Linked DNA regions of Drosophila melanogaster. The protein of the gene in region 1 interacts with the protein of each later gene in a pairwise test. Each region holds a gene or a part of one and is shown in the gene's direction. Other genes may lie near its edges. The genes, in order: Nha2, Mtl, CG4676 and CG7685.

Region 1 (4,784 bases):
AAGAATAAAATGTGAAATGTATGCTTTGTAAATTATATTTGCATTTTTTCCATCGACCGCGTATTTATACGAAAAATGCAAAACGCAATTTGGAAATGTGTTTAATTTGCAATATTTTTAATTAATAAAAACATTTAGAAATGTGCTGGCCTGGCAGTTTGAAAGTCCTCGCCATTGAGTGTCCACGTTGAGCTCAACAACCTGCAGATGCTCTATAAGAGTAGCGAGCTAAATTAATGGTTTGTATGGTACTTTAATGAAAAACAAAATAAATCTTTCTGCGCCATATGCGATTCTTTTGGAATATCATGACCCATTTCAAGAGTATCTCCATTAGTCCTTGCATCCTTATGGCGGAATAATAACACCAATGTTTGTGCAAAAGAAATTGAAAAACTGAAAACTGAAAACTCAAAACAGAAAACTGAATACTGAAAACTGGTAACTAGCGCCTGTCTGTTTGCTGCCTCCTGATAATTGACTTGCATGCAAATTAATGTTTTTTGCATGTGGGCGTAAATTGCTGCCCTGTCTGACAAACAGTAAACACGGTCAATGCAGCGGCGAGTCATTTTCATCAACGCGCCGCTGCACTATACATAAATCTCTGCCCCATCGATGTTTACCATATTTAAGGAAAAAATTCCAATTTGATGCAACAAAAATCACGGCACTGTAACAACATGTGTGTGCGTGGCAAATAGAGCGAGAAAGTTGTATTATCCTTTTTGCAGCGCCCCGCACCTCACAATGTCCTGTTTTTTTTGAGCCATCATCATAGTCATCATCATCGTCGTCATAATGGCCATCTTATAGAGTGAGAGTGCAACTGCAACTCCATACAGTGCAAAAAAGTGTGTGTGCATAGTTAAAATAAATTAAATATTTTCGCAAACGACACTTTTTTTGCGCAACAACGTGTGGCACCTGATGAGGAGATGATCTGACTGGAGCACTGGATAATGGTGGTGACGTCACTGCGATTGGTTATCTTTGTCATGGGGCTGGTTTGTCCATCAGGTAAATTAAAAATATTCCAGCGAAGCAATTAAATTACAGCCACGGCGTGGGAGTGGCCACGGCGCCCAATATGATGAGCAACGTCAAAATGCAAATTGTCAGAAAAACAATTTGCAAGACAAGCGAAACTCTTTTTACTTCAAGGAAATATAATTGCTTTCCAAGCTCACAAAAATTAATAATTAATAATAAAAACAATATAAGGTAGTTTTTTTTTTAATACCATGTAAACGCAGCTGGCAAACTAAAGCGCCATCTATGGCACAGAATTGCCGCCCCAATGATAGAGCTCAAATGGGGCAGGTCGCGCACATTTCCCTAAAAAAAAGTGAAAGCGTTTAATCATTCCGACACTCACACATGGGAAATGCGCTATGATTAGAGGTCTATTAATAACGCGGCTATTCGGCGCCTTATCTAGTTCAGATAAATTATGATTACATGACAATTATTTATCAGCTAATTGGCTGCGCCTTAGAAAACTATGGGCATATTGAATCGCAGATAAACGAACCCCTTATAAATATGTAAGTGCTTCCAAACAGACCCCACCCCCACCCCTCATTTCACCCAACCCAGAAACCAACTCATTCCGCACTTTTCGCTCGACAGCAATGAAAACAGAAGGTTCGCCTTCCGCAGAGCTTGTTTGTTTGCCAATTAGTTTTAATCGAAGAGCGCTCGCTGGAGCTGCGCGAATCGGCAATTGCTTGTTTAAATGGCTTTTGCTTTTCTAATTAATGCGTTTGGCAAATATTTGCCAGTGCATGAGCTGTAATAAAAAGAAGCTCCAAGTGCTCAAGTTCCGGGGCTACTACACTATTTCATTCCGCCTTTCCGCCGGTCGTGTCGCGCGTGTTCCGTTCCCTGCATATACTATACTATATACTATATATCCACTCGATTCGCAGCTAACCAATCTCTTCAAACCGCGGCGTTTCTCTTTGGCACTCGTCAATTTTGAGCCAAGAATAGCCATTTGGACTACGTCATCGTACTGATTGCGTCAGCAGTTGTCGCTCTTTGGCATTATTTTCCGCGTTTTTTTCACTCAATCACTCAGTTTTGTTTTGTTCTCTGGATTTCGCCGACATTCGACATGAGCAGCGATTCCGGTAAGCGATTCTGGCAGCTTTCGATACTCACTTTCGGCGTTAATTTACGAGTTTATGGTTAATCAATTAAATGCCACTTTTTGCCCAAGTGCCAATAAATAAATCGTGTGCAAATATGTTCGGGCTTCCACAAGTCAAATTGTTGGGAAATTAACTCTTTTATTTATATACTTGGGACTGGAAAATAAGAATGGTAGAATGGAATTATCAATATTTTTTGTTTGATTAGCAACCCTTCGGCTTTATCTATCATGCGTAATTAAAAATGTTACCAAATAGCTTGAGTCAATTTTTTTTGTGGGAAAAAAGTATGAATATAAAGCGATTTTAATTTTAATATCATACAAATTAATTTATATATATATATATATTTTTTTTTAGATATATTGGATGTAGTGGCAGGCAGTGAGGGTCCACCCTTGCAAGCCTTTCGCAGCAGCAATCCCTTCGAGGACTCGTATCAAATGTCCTCCTGCCAGCAAGATTTCGAACGCGATCGTGATGCGAACTTGACTCCATTGCATATGCTGCGTCGAGCCAGCGAAACGGTGACCGCCAGCATCCTGGAGCCGGAAAAGGAGCACCTCCTTGGCGACAAGCCACAGGTGCCCCCTCGTGCCCATGGAAGCACCGCGCCAAGCGCCATCGAAGGTGAGTGATATGTTTAATTGCACCGCGTCGTCATGGGGAAATTCGAAAAATGCGGAACGAAAGTATTTGTTACGGAAATTCTTGCCTTTATGCAACCAGCTCCCCGGATCAGTGTGCACACAACCCGCAGACAGGACGGCAAAAAGGATGCTGAAGACAGAGACATCCAGTGGAACAGCTCCATGCCAACGCTTTGTTGGCCAGCCAAGCGAAGTGGCTCCGACAGCCAAGTGCACAATGCGTGCTCAGATATGCACATATGCACTTCAGCACATATACGAGTATTCATAGTTTGTTTATGCAAAGTTTTTGTTTCGCCGTCGAGATATCCTGGCAGAATCACAGCTTTTTCTCTCAACTGGCAGGAGCTGATTGAGGCATTTCGATTTTAAGTGAACCGCACAATCACATCTTGCACAAGATGGCGAAGGCGGGCGGGGGACACAGGGGCGTATACGTAATATTTCCGCATATTGACGACAGAGTGTCTGCGATTGACAGTCCAGTGCATCTACCGTCCCGGCTCAAACTCAAAGGCAGGCATTTCCTACACATTCCTTCTGATTTCTGGAAATATGCAAGGCTGTGCCCTGCTGGCCATGTGTGTGGACCACTTTCGTTGGCCGAGCTTTTTGTTTACGCTCCTCTGTTTTGGCAGGTGGCCCTTGCTGGTTTTTCGCCCACAGCCGAGTAGCTAGTATTTTTGAAACTCCCAGAGCAGCAATTGTTTTGCATCTGTTCAAATGCGGGTTTTCGCACCAGTCCATTGTACAACTTTTTGGGAGAATTGGGGAGAACTTCCCTTTGGGCCATCGCAATTGTGGCATTTTCACACGAATAATGAGCCAGTTTAGTTGCGCCCAAATGCCCGCAATCATACAACTAACACGAGTGGCAAAAGCCCGCGGCTCTCGGCAAAGTATGTTCCCATGAATATGCATTAACCGGGGCTCATTTCCTGTGCATTCATTTCGCATTTGCTATTCGCTTTCACATTCGGAGTGCACCACTGATTCTGATTCAGATTCCGATTCCGATTCCGATGCCCGTTTCCATTTCGCGTCTGACTCTGATTTGACTGTGGAAGTCATATTTAAATAAGTTTGCGCACCGCTGCAGGCAGCACTAATGCTCGCATGTGCAGGCACTCGTTTATATTAAATAAATTCCATTTAAATGCAGCGTTTGGGGCAATTCCTCAAGCTCAACCTTGAATGGCACAGCCCTACCATCCACCTGCCCCATCCACATTTCACCTGTCGCTTCTGCTTGTGAGTGAAACGGTGACATTTCTGTTAACTAAAGCCAACATGATATACGCTTGGCACACAAACATGCACTCGTCTATTGATAAATGCAGTGCATTGCGCATTCGCCTCATGCGCCTGTGTGTGTGTGTGTGCAAGTCAGTTCATTACGTATACGCAGTGTGCGACATTTATAAATGCCAGCTAGACTGTGACTCAGCATAATGATTGCCAAATGAATGGTAGAATGTTAACCGTCACGAAAACCCTTTCGACGCCATTTCAATTGGCGCTGGTGCGTTTCGCAGCTGTGTTGGCCCACTTTGGAGGCTTGAATACTTTGGCTAAATCTGAAGGATTTGCAGGCACTTGCACTTGCGCCACAGCTAATTACTAAAACTGCACTTAGTCGCCCCTCCCGCACTTAACCTTTGACCACCTGTCAGACTTTGGCTGCTTATTTGCCGAGCTGCAACGGGGGTTTTTTTTTTCAATTTGTCTCTGGCTCTTTTATTTACCAGCATGGCGCTGAATGGCGCTTTGTGACCTCATTTCTCTACCATTTTTATATAGTTTACCAGCCCGGAGCCAAGAAAGTGCCAGTTTCCACTGATTTGCGATGTATGAGCACTAAATTCGATGCGAATCGCTGGGGCGTGAGTTCATCTCTTGGCAGGAAGTGCGTGACAACGGAATGCAATCTTCTTCCACGCAAAGAAATTATTTTCCGAATGCGCGCTGCATGTGGAGT
Region 2 (5,440 bases), 4.6 Mb from region 1:
ATTGCAACTAACCAGAAGAACAGAAGTTTTGTATATATCAGCTAACTACATATGTCATGTCTTTTGCTTTTGTTTTTCGATCTCGATTTCGGCCTTTTCCCAATCTGGAATGGTTTTCTCCTTTATGCTCCACGAATCGGTTTTGGGGCCCTTTATTTCAGCTAAAATATAAAAAAGGAAGGTAACAAAGTGTTTCTAGGAATGAACACGAACACTACTCACAGTTCTTGAAACGCTTCACGCCCTCCTGCATATCTGTTATCATATCTGAGGTAACATTCATGATCTCATTGTAACTGGCCACATGGAATCCTGGTTTGTTGTAGGCATTGGCATTTTCAAGCACAGCATTCCTGTCGTGCATTAGGGAAGCCATGGGGAACTTGGCAATGGAAAAGGCCAGATTAACAGCTTGACCTAAAGCTGTGCCTGTGGCCACAACGCGATTCACTAAACCGATTCGCCGCGCCTCCCCAGAGTAGATGCGTCTTCCAGTTGCGATGATCTCCAAGGCATTGGAGTAACCCACTGCAGCGGCCAGCCGCACAGTTCCACCATCGCTCAGGGGAACTCCAAGGCGACGGTTGAAGAACCCCAGAACTGCAGTGTCCTCCATCACCCGGAGATCGCACATTAGAGCCAGTTCCAATCCACCGGCCACACAGAAACCGCTGATGCCGCAAACAAGTGGCTTGCGGAGATGCCGCCTAGTTGGTCCGACGGAGCCCTCGTGACGCAACAGAAAGTTGAGGCTGCCGCGTTGCGCCTCCGCCTCTAGCTCCTCCAGATCATAGCCTGCACAAAAGGAGCCACCTATGCCGTAGAGCACACCCACTGGAGAAGTATCATCCGCTTCGAATTGGCTAATGGCTTCGGTCAGCTGCTCCGCGGTGTTGGCATCAATGGAATTACGCTGCTGCTCGCGATTTAGGCCAATAAGTGTTATGTGCGAGTCCTTCTCCACCAGAACTGTGCGGGCAGGGGCACCCTCTTGAGATTCGCTTTCCGCATTTCTTACAGTAGCCAAAGAAATGCGTCTGCAGCCCGAACTAGTTTGGTTTGCACTCTGTAAAAGTTTATAAACAAATCTGCTCATTACGACGCTCGAAACAACAACAGTGGACATAGGCAGCATGGGCGTAGTCGATAGCAATTAAAGGGTATTGAACTTACATAAGATAATTTTAAAATGATAATTTTTTAATTAACAGGTAATTATTACAATATTCTGCTCGAAATAGAATTAAATAAATAATTTTGTTTACAATGTGAAAATTGGTTGCAACCCCTCTCCCACAACCATGCCTATTAGTATTGTATAATGCCAAATCCGCCTGAGCCCTGCACCTTTTGCAGCACTGCTTGTCAGTTTCGAGAGAGCGGAGCTGGACTACCCGCTCTCTTTTTTCACGCCAAGTCTAGCTGATTTTTAAGTGCCAATTGTAAAAAAAAGTTTATTTTAGTTTTGGAAAAAGAAAAACGACTTTATACTGGATGATATGCTTATTAAGTTTAGTTATTGGTACCATACATTTAAGTGATTTTTTTATATTTACCGTCAGCTATTTTCTGGCCCTAAGTTGGCACCACTGTCAACGGCGAGAGAGAGAGCGTCGCTGCGCTGTCAAAAAGGTGGGTGTGTGTTTGTGTGGAGTGGAAACAAAAAGGAAAAACACGAAAATTATTCGGGGACGCTGCGTTTTGTCCCTCAAACAGATATTTATAAGTAAAAGCCGCTGCGAAATAGTGCGAATCAATTATTTAAATGCGCCGCATGGACCATCGCCTCGAACGCATATCGGTAGCCGGAAAACGCACAGTGATATAAGCCAAGTACAAAACAGTCGCCGCCTGCCGACAGACAAAGGAAAAGGATAGGTGGTGGTGAAAACGGTAAAATAATATTGTATTCCCATTCGGTGTTGTGCCACAACAAAAGATTTTCATTGCTACCGCACCCGCCCCCGCGGCCACGCCCAGCCCCGTTGCATGTGGCGCAATATGTGCCGCCTCTGTGTGTTGAACTTTAATTGAATCGGTTATGAGAACTTAATTGTGTCTATTTTCGGGCGGTTCATTTTCCCATTTTGTGTTTCTTTTTCTCGATGCGGTGCGTCTGCCGGTGGCTTCCGCGTCACCACAACACTCGGGCGACCCCGCCCACCGCCGAAGGGGCGCCACTGGAGGGGCGGTCGCCATTTGGTCCGCTGCTCCCATTTATGCTTTTTGTTTTTCCCCGTCTGTGTCGCCCATCATGATCTATTTTTGAAAATTTTATTTGCGAAAACAAAGTGCCACCGCAACCGAAATGAGACCCTCGTTCGTTTTATTAGGCTTTATGGGCCTCCGCCGCTGCGGTTGCTTTCTTTTTGCGGCCGGGACACACCTTTCGAGAGCCCTGCCTTTGATCATCCCAGAGATATACCGTAGACCTTCGCCATTATACTCTGTACAGTAGTACTTCCACAGCTTGGACATTCCCACTTTACGATGTAGCATACTCCAATAAGTATAACTTCCATTAATACAATATAAATAGTTTGCGACTCAGGAAGCAAGTATCCTGATTCAATTTGTCTAGATATTCAAATTTTAAAAGTTGCCAAATTCCATTTAAGCAATTGTTTATCTTATATATATGTAGTTGCGCGCCAAAAACGATGTGGTAGTTAATTTATTTATAAAAACCTAATAAAACGAATAGGATAATTTATTGTGTCATATATGTATTTCTACAGCATTTGTTTCTATTTTAAAGAATTTTTATTAAGGAAGTACGACTGTGAAATAATTTGCGGTCAGTTGGCACTGGCGGGTTTATTGCCTCGAATAGAACTTAATTAATTGAATTAAGCTGGCGAAGACATTCATCTTCCATCTTATTTTGCCCACAGCACACAGACAGTACACAGCTATCGGCACAGGCACACTCAGCACACTCACGATGTCAACCGGAAGGCCCATAAAGTGTGTAGTCGTTGGTGACGGCACCGTCGGAAAGACCTGCATGCTAATCTCCTACACGACAGACTGCTTTCCCGGCGAATATGTGCCCACAGTGTAAGTTTGTGCCTCGATAGCCGCAAACCGCAGATCGATATCTAACTTTTACTATGATATCTTTCACAGCTTCGACAACTACTCGGCGCCCATGCAAGTGGACACAATACAGGTCTCGCTGGGACTGTGGGATACGGCGGGTCAGGAGGACTACGACCGCCTGAGACCGCTATCCTACCCGCAGACAGACGTTTTCCTGATATGCTACAGCGTGGCGAGTCCCTCGTCCTTTGAGAACGTCACCTCGAAATGGTATCCGGAGATAAAGCACCACTGTCCCGATGCGCCCATCATTCTAGTTGGTAAGTTGCCAAGCGACATGAAAACTGCAATCAGAAAACGAGAATCATACATATATCTTTGGGCGTATTCCAGGCACCAAAATCGATTTGCGCGAAGATCGAGAGACACTCAGCGGCCTGGCAGAGCAGGGACTGACGCCGCTGAAGCGCGAGCAGGGCCAGAAGCTGGCAAACAAGATACGCGCTGTGAAATACATGGAGTGCTCCGCCTTGACGCAGCGCGGTCTCAAGCCGGTAAGTCATCGGTGCCCGGCACACCCTCCACCTACCCCTTATTCATCATTAAATTTCCCTTCCCACTCCGATTGCAAATTCAGGTGTTCGAGGAAGCGGTGCGCGCGGTGCTCAGACCAGAGCCGCTAAAGCGACGCCAGCGAAAGTGTTTAATAATGTAAATAAGGTAGAATGTTATTGGCTTTGGCGAAGTATAGAGATTCCTCGGAAGCGACACGTACACCGGCACAATGGCCACAACAAATTGACACTCACGCAGCGCCCTCATCGACAAATCAATTACATGTATTTATTTATAAAATTCTCCGTACTCTCGTAAAAGGCACCGAACCCGGAAAGAAACTCTAAACAAACGATAAATATTGTACGAAATTCTGTGAATCGAAATGTACTGCCATCAAAATTCGTATGAAATTTCTCTTTGTTTGGCTGTTTTTTTCTGCGGATCGTTGCTGTCACACATTTGGCAAACCACGATTCCCTCCCGCAACAACTAAAAAAAACATTGTTAACAAAATCGGTACCACAGATAAATCATAAATCTAATGCACTACATATGTAGAAATCTAGTCAATTGAATCGAATGTATTGTACGAATAGTATCTGGCAGAAAGAGAAAATTATAACAACCGCAGCAAACATTGGTTTCGCATATCACGAGCATCTATGCATTTCCTAGTTTCCCATTAAATGTATTATAGTTATATATAGCCATGAGCTAAGGCAGCCAATCCGCAGCTAACCAAATCTGAAACCAGGCCAATTCACTTGACGACGAGCTCTTAGAGAAGCCACTTTTTATGATATTCAAGCATGCGCATTTTTTTAATTCTAACTCGACCCTCGAATCATAATCATAATCACTTGAAGCTCATTTGACGATGTCTTTTGAAAATGTAACAACTGTTGTTTATTATTTTATAATGACCTATTTATTACCCTAACTTTAAAAACGAATTGTATAAACAACTTTTATGGCTTAAGTAGAGCAAAAGGATGATGTAAATGGAAAAAGGCAACTAAATGCATTTAAATGTGACGCGACTCGAATAATCGAAAGGAACAAGAATCAAAAACGAATACAAAACCTAAAGAAACCAAGAAAAGCACACAGTTTTCCAAACACACAATGAGCACGATGATAAAGACGCAATGAGACGTAACGAAATCCCAGGACAATTTTTGTACTAATTATATATAGAAAATCAAACGCAAGTCTTATGTAAATGAAATGTAAACGAAGGCCGTTTGGCTCCAGCGATGTAGTAGCCGTGAAACAGATTTAATACTTACGAAAATATATACTGTAATTATATAAAGAAACAAACAAACAAACCACAGCTGTATTTTGTGCTTAACTTTGCCTCTCATTTAGTCGTTTATTGTTATGTTGTAAATGCCAAGTTTCGTTTCCATTTCGGTTCTAAACAATCAACGGTTTGATAAAATGTATTCTGCATATGCATGTTTTAGAAGTGCGTGCCTCGATATCAACTTGTGCACAAATCTCTGAGTGCTTCGATTGGGTGACGTCACGTGCGACTTGTGGAGCAGCTCCTTCCTCGACAGGCTCAATATAGGCGGAATGGCTTCGAGTGGACGGCCTGGCCGGGCTTCTTCTTGGGTCCCGCGCTCTTGGGACGCTTGGGCTCCGAGTTGAGCGAGGGCATGGATACGGAGAGAACCAGGCACTCCGCCGGCAGGGACATGGACGAGGTGAGTGTGGTGGCCCGCTGGATGCGCGGTGCCTTCCAATACTGCGGGAATCGAAAGAGAGGTGTTTAGAGACAATCGGCTCGGACTCGCTGGAGGAGCAGGAGTGATGCAAAATAGTTGTCATAGCT
Region 3 (3,294 bases), on another chromosome or scaffold:
TGCTGGCTGAATCGTTCTCCGTTAAGTAGTGAAAGTTTGGCCAGTAGGAATTGTTGTGGCTGCTGGTCAGGTTCTCTGCGGCCACCATACCCGCTAGTATTTCGCGGATTTCGTTTTTATCCTGCGTATGCAGGCTCTGCCCGTAATGCTGAGGACCCGGCTGGAAACCGGGGCCCAGATAACGTAGCGTTGGATAGCCCATCACCTCGTAGTTGCGGCAGATGCCATTGTTCTCCTCGGCGGCGCAATCGATGGCCGCCACGATGAGCACCTCGGACCAGGGCAACAGGTGCTCCGCTACCGACTTGTACGTGGGTGCGAATCTGCGACAGTGGCCGCAGTAAGTGTTGTAGAACTCGACTAATGCTCCGCGATTCTGGTCCAGGACGGTAGCATTGAAGTTGTCGACCGACAGGCGGATAACCTTATCCCCGTCGTCGTAGAGACCCAGTGTGGGATCCGATGGAGGGGACTGCTGCTTGAGGAGCGCCTCGTATCGCGGAAGGGGAACGCCCGCGGATGCGATGTCCACCAGCAGAGCGACGGCCAGAATCACCAGGTGCGTCGCCGACATTTTGCGGATCTACCCAATTTGCGGGATCGGTTGCGGCTGCGATTCGTACGGAATGCGATGTGGAACGCGACTGCTCTGCTGCGATAAGATTTAACTTCACCGAAGCATTTGGAATGTTTTACGGTCGCAAGTGGTTTGATTAACTGCTGCCAGGGATGCCAAATCGTCTGCTTTCTAGCTACGATTCTTCAGCTATTTTCAAAACTCGCGAAGCGAAACGATGTTAAACGTTTTTCGTGCCATATAATTTGTGCATTTTTAAATTACTTTGCCTATTAATTTGTTTTATTGTCAGTAAAAGTCATTTGGTATATATGTATAAACTACTAGCTACACGAATTCATTTTTACTGCGAACTAGTTCGCTCCCAAAATTTTAAAACCTAAAAAAGAAAAAAATTATTAAAGTAATATAAAAAGAACAGTGCACCTAGGCTAGGCAATGTTTTATACCTGCTTGCACTCTACATCAAGGAAATGATTATTTTTCACAATTTAAAACTTTACATTGTTTAGTTAAACATATTCTTTTATTTTATTGTCTCGTTCGTCATATGGTTTTCGATAATCCGCAAAAAAAAACCCCAACCTATTATGCACACGTATATATTAATTGAATCGCCTTTAAAAGTTCCAAGAAAAAAAACAAAGCAAAGTTTCATCGAAGCGCTATGCCTTATCAATTTTGTATGGTTTTTGTTTTTGTAATTTCACAGTAGAAATCCCCATTATAAAGTCGTTCTTTAATTTCAAATAAAATTTTATTTTTAATTTCAAGTTTTTATGTAATAATATAAAGCAAACTTAAGAACTTAAGCTTATAACATTTGTATTCCTTTAATATACCATCGTTTATGACATTTGATTTATTCGTATTAAGTTACTTATTATTACCTTATATATTTATATTTCTTTAAATTAAATCATTTGTGTTCTTTAAAAACCGGATTGCTTCTGTTAAATTCAATCTTATTTAACATTTTACGGGTTTCCTAACGTAAAGAGTTGTGTTCTAACCGTTTCACCATACTCGACTTAACAGTCTTACCGTTAGCAGCAGAGCCAAAAATCGCTTTGCAGCACTGTCTCAGTTGGGGGGTACAAAAAATAACGGGAGCATGATGATTTTGCGCTCGTGGGATCGCGTTAAACCTCGTTCCATTTCGGATTTCGCATGTTTCCTCCTGGTGGCTGTCTTTGTGCCCGTGACATACATCTTCCATGTGACCATTGTTATGCCGGAACTGTTTGCCATCGGAGGGATTTGGTACACGTTATTATGGTTGGCCAGCCTGTTCCTCATCTTCAACATCACATCCAACATGCTGGCCTGCATGCTTGTGGACACTAGTATCCGCAGTGGGTAGCAAGCAGTGATTTTGTGGTATCCCTTCTAAGATTGTCTTTATAGAGGAGCTGCTGAAGCCACCGTTGGATGCGGCGCAGCTGGCACGGTGGCACTCTTGCCAGGATTGTCAGACATTGGTGCCACCTCGATCCTGGCACTGCGAAGTGTGCAACGTGTGCGTGCTGAAGCGGGACCACCACTGTCGGTTCACTTGCTGCTGCATCGGGCATCACAACTACAGGTACTTCTTCTACTACCTGGTTTACATGATCATCGGATCCTTGGCGGCCGCCATCATGGAGAGCATCTATCTGTGGCATCTCCATCTGGACATCTACTGGCGCTGGTCTACGCTGTTCACCATATTTGCTCCCGTGGTTAGCCTGATGCTGTCTCCAAGCTGGGAGTCCTTCTACTTGGTCATATATGATCTCACCCTTCTGGGCTTCGCCATATCATCCTTGCTCCTTGTCTTCCACTGGTCGATATTCAAGAGCGGTTCGGTGACACGAGAGCGCGGCACAAGAAAGTACGATCGCGGTTTGCGGGGTAACCTGGAGATGGTTCTGGGCAAGAGAATGCATCTCACCTGGCTGTCGCCGTTTCTACGCAGCGATCTGCCACACGACGGAATGAACTGGGAACCCATAGCCGCCTTTTCTCCAAAGGAGGAATAGATCTGAATTGTGTCTTACCCATTCTTGACATTCATTAGAGGCATTTACTTATATCTACTTCATAACAAAATCAGTATTGTTTATTTTAAGACTCACTAGTCAACATCTGAATTGGAAATAGTATCCAAATTTATACGTCTTACTATTCTCTACTTGACCAATGGAAATTAATTTTTAATGTTTACAAGTCACACATTTGATCAGCTTACAAGTTAAAATAGTACAAAGCCTTTTATTAACATAAAGCTTTACAAAATATTTAGAATACTGTGTATTCATTCAGTAATGTCTATTATATGTATTAAATTAATCTGTTTAATGAAACCAAACAAGTATTTATTAAATGGTTATTTATTTAACAGCGTTCATTATATAATTTACAAAAGACTCTACTACTTATCGAGGAAACTTTCGCCTACGAGCGATTTCAGCTTAGACAGGTGTGTTTCATTTAGGGTAAATCCTTCATGAATACGTTTGGCTAACTCCCTGGAATCAAAGTTGTTCTCAACGGCATATTGCAGGGCAAACAGCGCCTGGCTGGGTGACTTCTCCTGCACACTTGCGTCCACAAATTCTATCAGAGCATTTAGGCTTGGTGTTCCGGGAATTCTGTGCTGGTTCTTGTCAATGTGGGCGAAGACTTCGGTCGCCTTTTCGTAGCTACCACCGCGAACGAGAAGCGTGAGTATATCT
Region 4 (3,464 bases), 4.6 Mb from region 1:
GTGAAGGTAAATAAATTCAAATAGAAATGTAACTATGGATCAGCGCTTTCCTGTAATTATTTATTAGGGTTGATTATCTTGTATAACCCTTTGAAACGGAAGCATTATCCTTAATCAACACTGTGTACTTGAACAGCTGTTTGGCCCGTAGTTGTAGGTACTATTTTTGAAAACACCATTGGGAGTTCCCACAAGACAAACAAATCCGTGCACCGTTGTATTGGATTCCAATCGAACAGCTGACATACCTTCGGGCCCGTTAGTTTTCCCGATCGCCCTGCATATGATACCATATCTCCCATTACAGCGCTGCAGCCCAATCAAACCGGTTTGTCGCCTTTCGACTTTTCGGTGGTCTCAGTTCACATCCATTTCCCCAACCAGTCCAATTGCTTTTATCTTGCTCCTCGAGTGTTAACGAAATTGCTTAAATCCACCCACATTCATCCTTTCATTCAGTTCGGCCTGGGAGTAGCAGCATGAAAAACGTTTTGGATGTCATGTCGATGCAGCAGCACGTGGAGTTGAACAAGGCGCAGACCATGAAGCCCATCGACTATCGGTAAGTTGAATGATCCAATCTAAAGATACCACCAATATATACATATCTGTGCCATCTGTGCCGCAGCAAAATGAACAAACCCGGCGTGGTGCCGATGTACATCTTTGAGTGCGCTGCCAAGTTGAAAATGAAACCGCTGACGGCGGCCTGTGCGGCCATAGTGTTCCATCGCTTCTTCCGCGAGGTCAAGGCCAGCGACTACGATGAGTTCGTGAGTAATATATGCCCCCAAAACGACCCCATCTCATGAGAAACTTTCTGGAATCCACAGCTCATTGCCGCGGGCTCGCTGTACTTGGCTGGCAAAATTAAGGAAGACGAAAGTGTCAAGATACGCGATGTCATCAACGTGGCATACTGCACCCTTAACCGGGGCAATGATCCAGTCGACCTGAACGATGAGTACTGGTCGATGCGGGATGCCATTGTCCAGGCTGAGCTGCTCATCACGCGCACCCTGTGCTTCGATCTCAACATAGATCTGGCCCACAAGTACTTACTCCACTACATGAAGACCCTACAAGACTGGGTGGGCACTGAGGTGTGGAACTCGGTGCCCATTGCCAAGGCAGCCGCCTCGTATCTGCAAGACTTTCACCACAGCGCCAATATCCTCAAGTACAAGCCCACCCATGTGGCCATTGGGTGCCTGTCGCTGGCCCTCCAGACCTACGGCATCCAGGTGCCGCTAACCGACGAGTCCGACGAATCCGCCATGTGGTACAAGCCCTTGGTCAAGGACTTCACCCGAGAGAACCAGTGGGAGATCATCGAGAACGTGATCGAGGTCTACAAGAACGAGGGCTTCCTGAATGCCACCTAATCGCTGAGAGAGACTGCCAAAACCATTCCTTCTGCCATCTGAACTTATTTATTTTCCCCTCGCCACCTCATAAACCAATCTCAGATACTACTAGACGTACATATGCTCAAATGTCCAATGCATTTACATCATGCCCTTGCCAAAACAAATAAATTGACCGGTAATGAAATGCTTATGTGATCGACGGGCGAAAGTACATTTACCTATCAGCGAAGACGATAGATCTAAAGTTTACAACTTATTTATACACTGATTCAATAAACAATTGTTCTGTGAAAAATGATATTGTTAATGGGTCTTTGGAGTTGTGAAATGCTTTAAGATTCTGAGGAAAAGCAAAAAGGTGTTTGGCGCTTTTATTTCAATCAAATTCATTATACTTTTAAGCTGTTAAAAGTTTTACAAAAAAATATTACACTTTATCAAACAAATTTAAATAAATCGCTCTGTATTTGATTAAATTCCGGGATGGGTGGCAACCCTTAGCCCCAGCCCAGCAGTGTTGACTAACGCAGGCATGTACAAAAACAATGCTAGTTCGTAAACAAAACATATTTTTTATACATTACTTGGCCAGAGCGAAAAAACAAGGACAATATGCGTAAGACGTGGGTGAAGCGAGAGAATATATACTTCAAGCCCTTCTACAAGCAGAAGTCGAAGATGTTCCTGCTGCTGATCTTCCTGGTCGGAATTTCGTTCATCGCGTATCAGGTGAGAGTCTCGCAAGGATTTTCCTGTGCACGGTGTTTAATGTGTAAACAATAACGATAGGCCTTCTCGCTGAACCAGCTGCCCGGAGTGCCTGCTCCGTGGAATCTGCAGCAGATCAAGCGCAAGCACCAGCAGATGATGCAGTCCCTGGGCAGCAAACAGCGCGACGTGGACGATTTCGATGGCGGAGGCGCCGATGCAGTTGCTCCGGCAGGCGGGGAAACCTCACCTGTTGCGGGTCACGAGGATCCCATCAAGATTGTCAGGTGTGTAGTAGATGCATTGTTGCTGGCTTGGGAAAATTCCTCATCCTCGTCTTTATCCTTTAGGGGCACACGGCTCTTCGACTACGACGCCTACAAGCCCAACTTCGAGGGCAAGTTCCGGTGTCTGGACGGCTCCAAAGAGATCCCGTTCGACCACCTGAACGACAACTACTGCGACTGTGAGGAGGACGGCAGCGACGAGCCCAGCACGAATGCCTGCGCCAAGGGGCGATTCTACTGTCGCTACCAGAAGCGTCACATCACGGGCCGGGGCCTGGATATCTACGTGGCCAGCAGCCGCATTAATGACCACGTGTGCGACTGCTGCGACGGCAGCGATGAGTGGAGCACGGCGACCAAGTGTCCCAACGACTGTGCGTAGTCGCAGGCCGACGGGACCCCGTTCCCACTCCCATTCCTCTTCCATCTCCTCCACCTGTGCACCTAGGACACCAATCTCAAGGATGAAGATGTCGGGCGGCGCATCACAAGCGATATTTTTTGTACGAGTACAATAGAATTGTAATTTATTTTAAAATAAGTAGATTGAATAAAAGAAACGAATTCCAAGAAACACAATGTGGCCTGTTCCAGTTTTCACATTCAAAGAATCTGATGGATTTAATGTGTACAATTTGTTTAAAACTATGTTTAATTTGGTGCCAGAGGAGCAGCTGCAAGATTAGATCTTTGTGGACATGTGAAAAAAAGAAGCTGCCATTTTATCCATATATGCTTATTCATTTTATTACCAGACTCACAAAAATCAGTAGAATTTACATTGGGAATTCCTTTTTTGTTTTGTTTTCTTTTTTTTGCTCGACTTTCTCTGCGCGATTTTTGGTTTCGAATTCGCAGCGTTTTCATTTATAATGTTCAATTTACATCTACGACCGTCTGTAATTTTAGTTAATATGGTTCTTCTTGCCTAAAAATGTTTTGTGCAGTTTAATCCGTAAAATGTACATCGACAAACTCTAAAGCAATTTTGAACTGCAAATTCTACAAGGTACGAAATTTTGTGTGTAATTAATTTTTCCCTTATATGCACAGTACGTCTCACTGGATTTTCTCTTGGTTTGCTTTCTTGGCTGGCTTT

What was found.
Region 2: the proteins of Nha2 (region 1) and Mtl interact in a two-hybrid assay, tested with the Drosophila melanogaster proteins (one large-scale study listed by BioGRID).
Region 3: the proteins of Nha2 (region 1) and CG4676 interact in a two-hybrid assay, tested with the Drosophila melanogaster proteins (one large-scale study listed by BioGRID).
Region 4: the proteins of Nha2 (region 1) and CG7685 interact in a two-hybrid assay, tested with the Drosophila melanogaster proteins (one large-scale study listed by BioGRID).

Annotation. Positions count from the first base shown.
Region 1 is NT_033777.3:22,995,516-23,000,299, reverse strand, and holds the start of Nha2 (Na[+]/H[+] hydrogen antiporter 2), read left to right. Parts: upstream 1-1,771; 5' UTR 1,772-2,119; coding exon 2,120-2,135; intron 2,136-2,514; exon of another isoform or gene 2,515-2,516; coding exon 2,517-2,786; exon of another isoform or gene 2,787-3,846; intron 3,847-4,784.
Region 2 is NT_033777.3:27,634,944-27,640,383, forward strand, and holds Mtl (Mig-2-like), read left to right. Parts: upstream 1-1,605; 5' UTR 1,606-1,893; intron 1,894-1,917; exon of another isoform or gene 1,918-2,110; intron 2,111-2,894; 5' UTR 2,895-2,944; coding exon 2,945-3,060; intron 3,061-3,129; coding exon 3,130-3,362; intron 3,363-3,435; coding exon 3,436-3,596; intron 3,597-3,679; coding exon 3,680-3,757; 3' UTR 3,758-4,928; downstream 4,929-5,440. Other genes in the region: CG5611 (uncharacterized protein), read right to left, coding at 55-161, 223-1,096.
Region 3 is NT_033778.4:13,234,324-13,237,617, forward strand, and holds CG4676 (uncharacterized protein), read left to right. Parts: upstream 1-1,656; 5' UTR 1,657-1,691; coding exon 1,692-1,932; intron 1,933-1,984; coding exon 1,985-2,598; 3' UTR 2,599-2,732; downstream 2,733-3,294. Other genes in the region: Qsox1 (quiescin sulfhydryl oxidase 1), read right to left, coding at 1-574; CG4679 (uncharacterized protein), read right to left, coding at 2,991-3,294.
Region 4 is NT_033777.3:18,403,061-18,406,524, forward strand, and holds CG7685 (uncharacterized protein), read left to right. Parts: upstream 1-1,879; 5' UTR 1,880-1,982; coding exon 1,983-2,099; intron 2,100-2,159; coding exon 2,160-2,365; intron 2,366-2,428; coding exon 2,429-2,747; 3' UTR 2,748-2,942; downstream 2,943-3,464. Other genes in the region: koko (kokopelli), read left to right, coding at 480-562, 629-773, 834-1,385.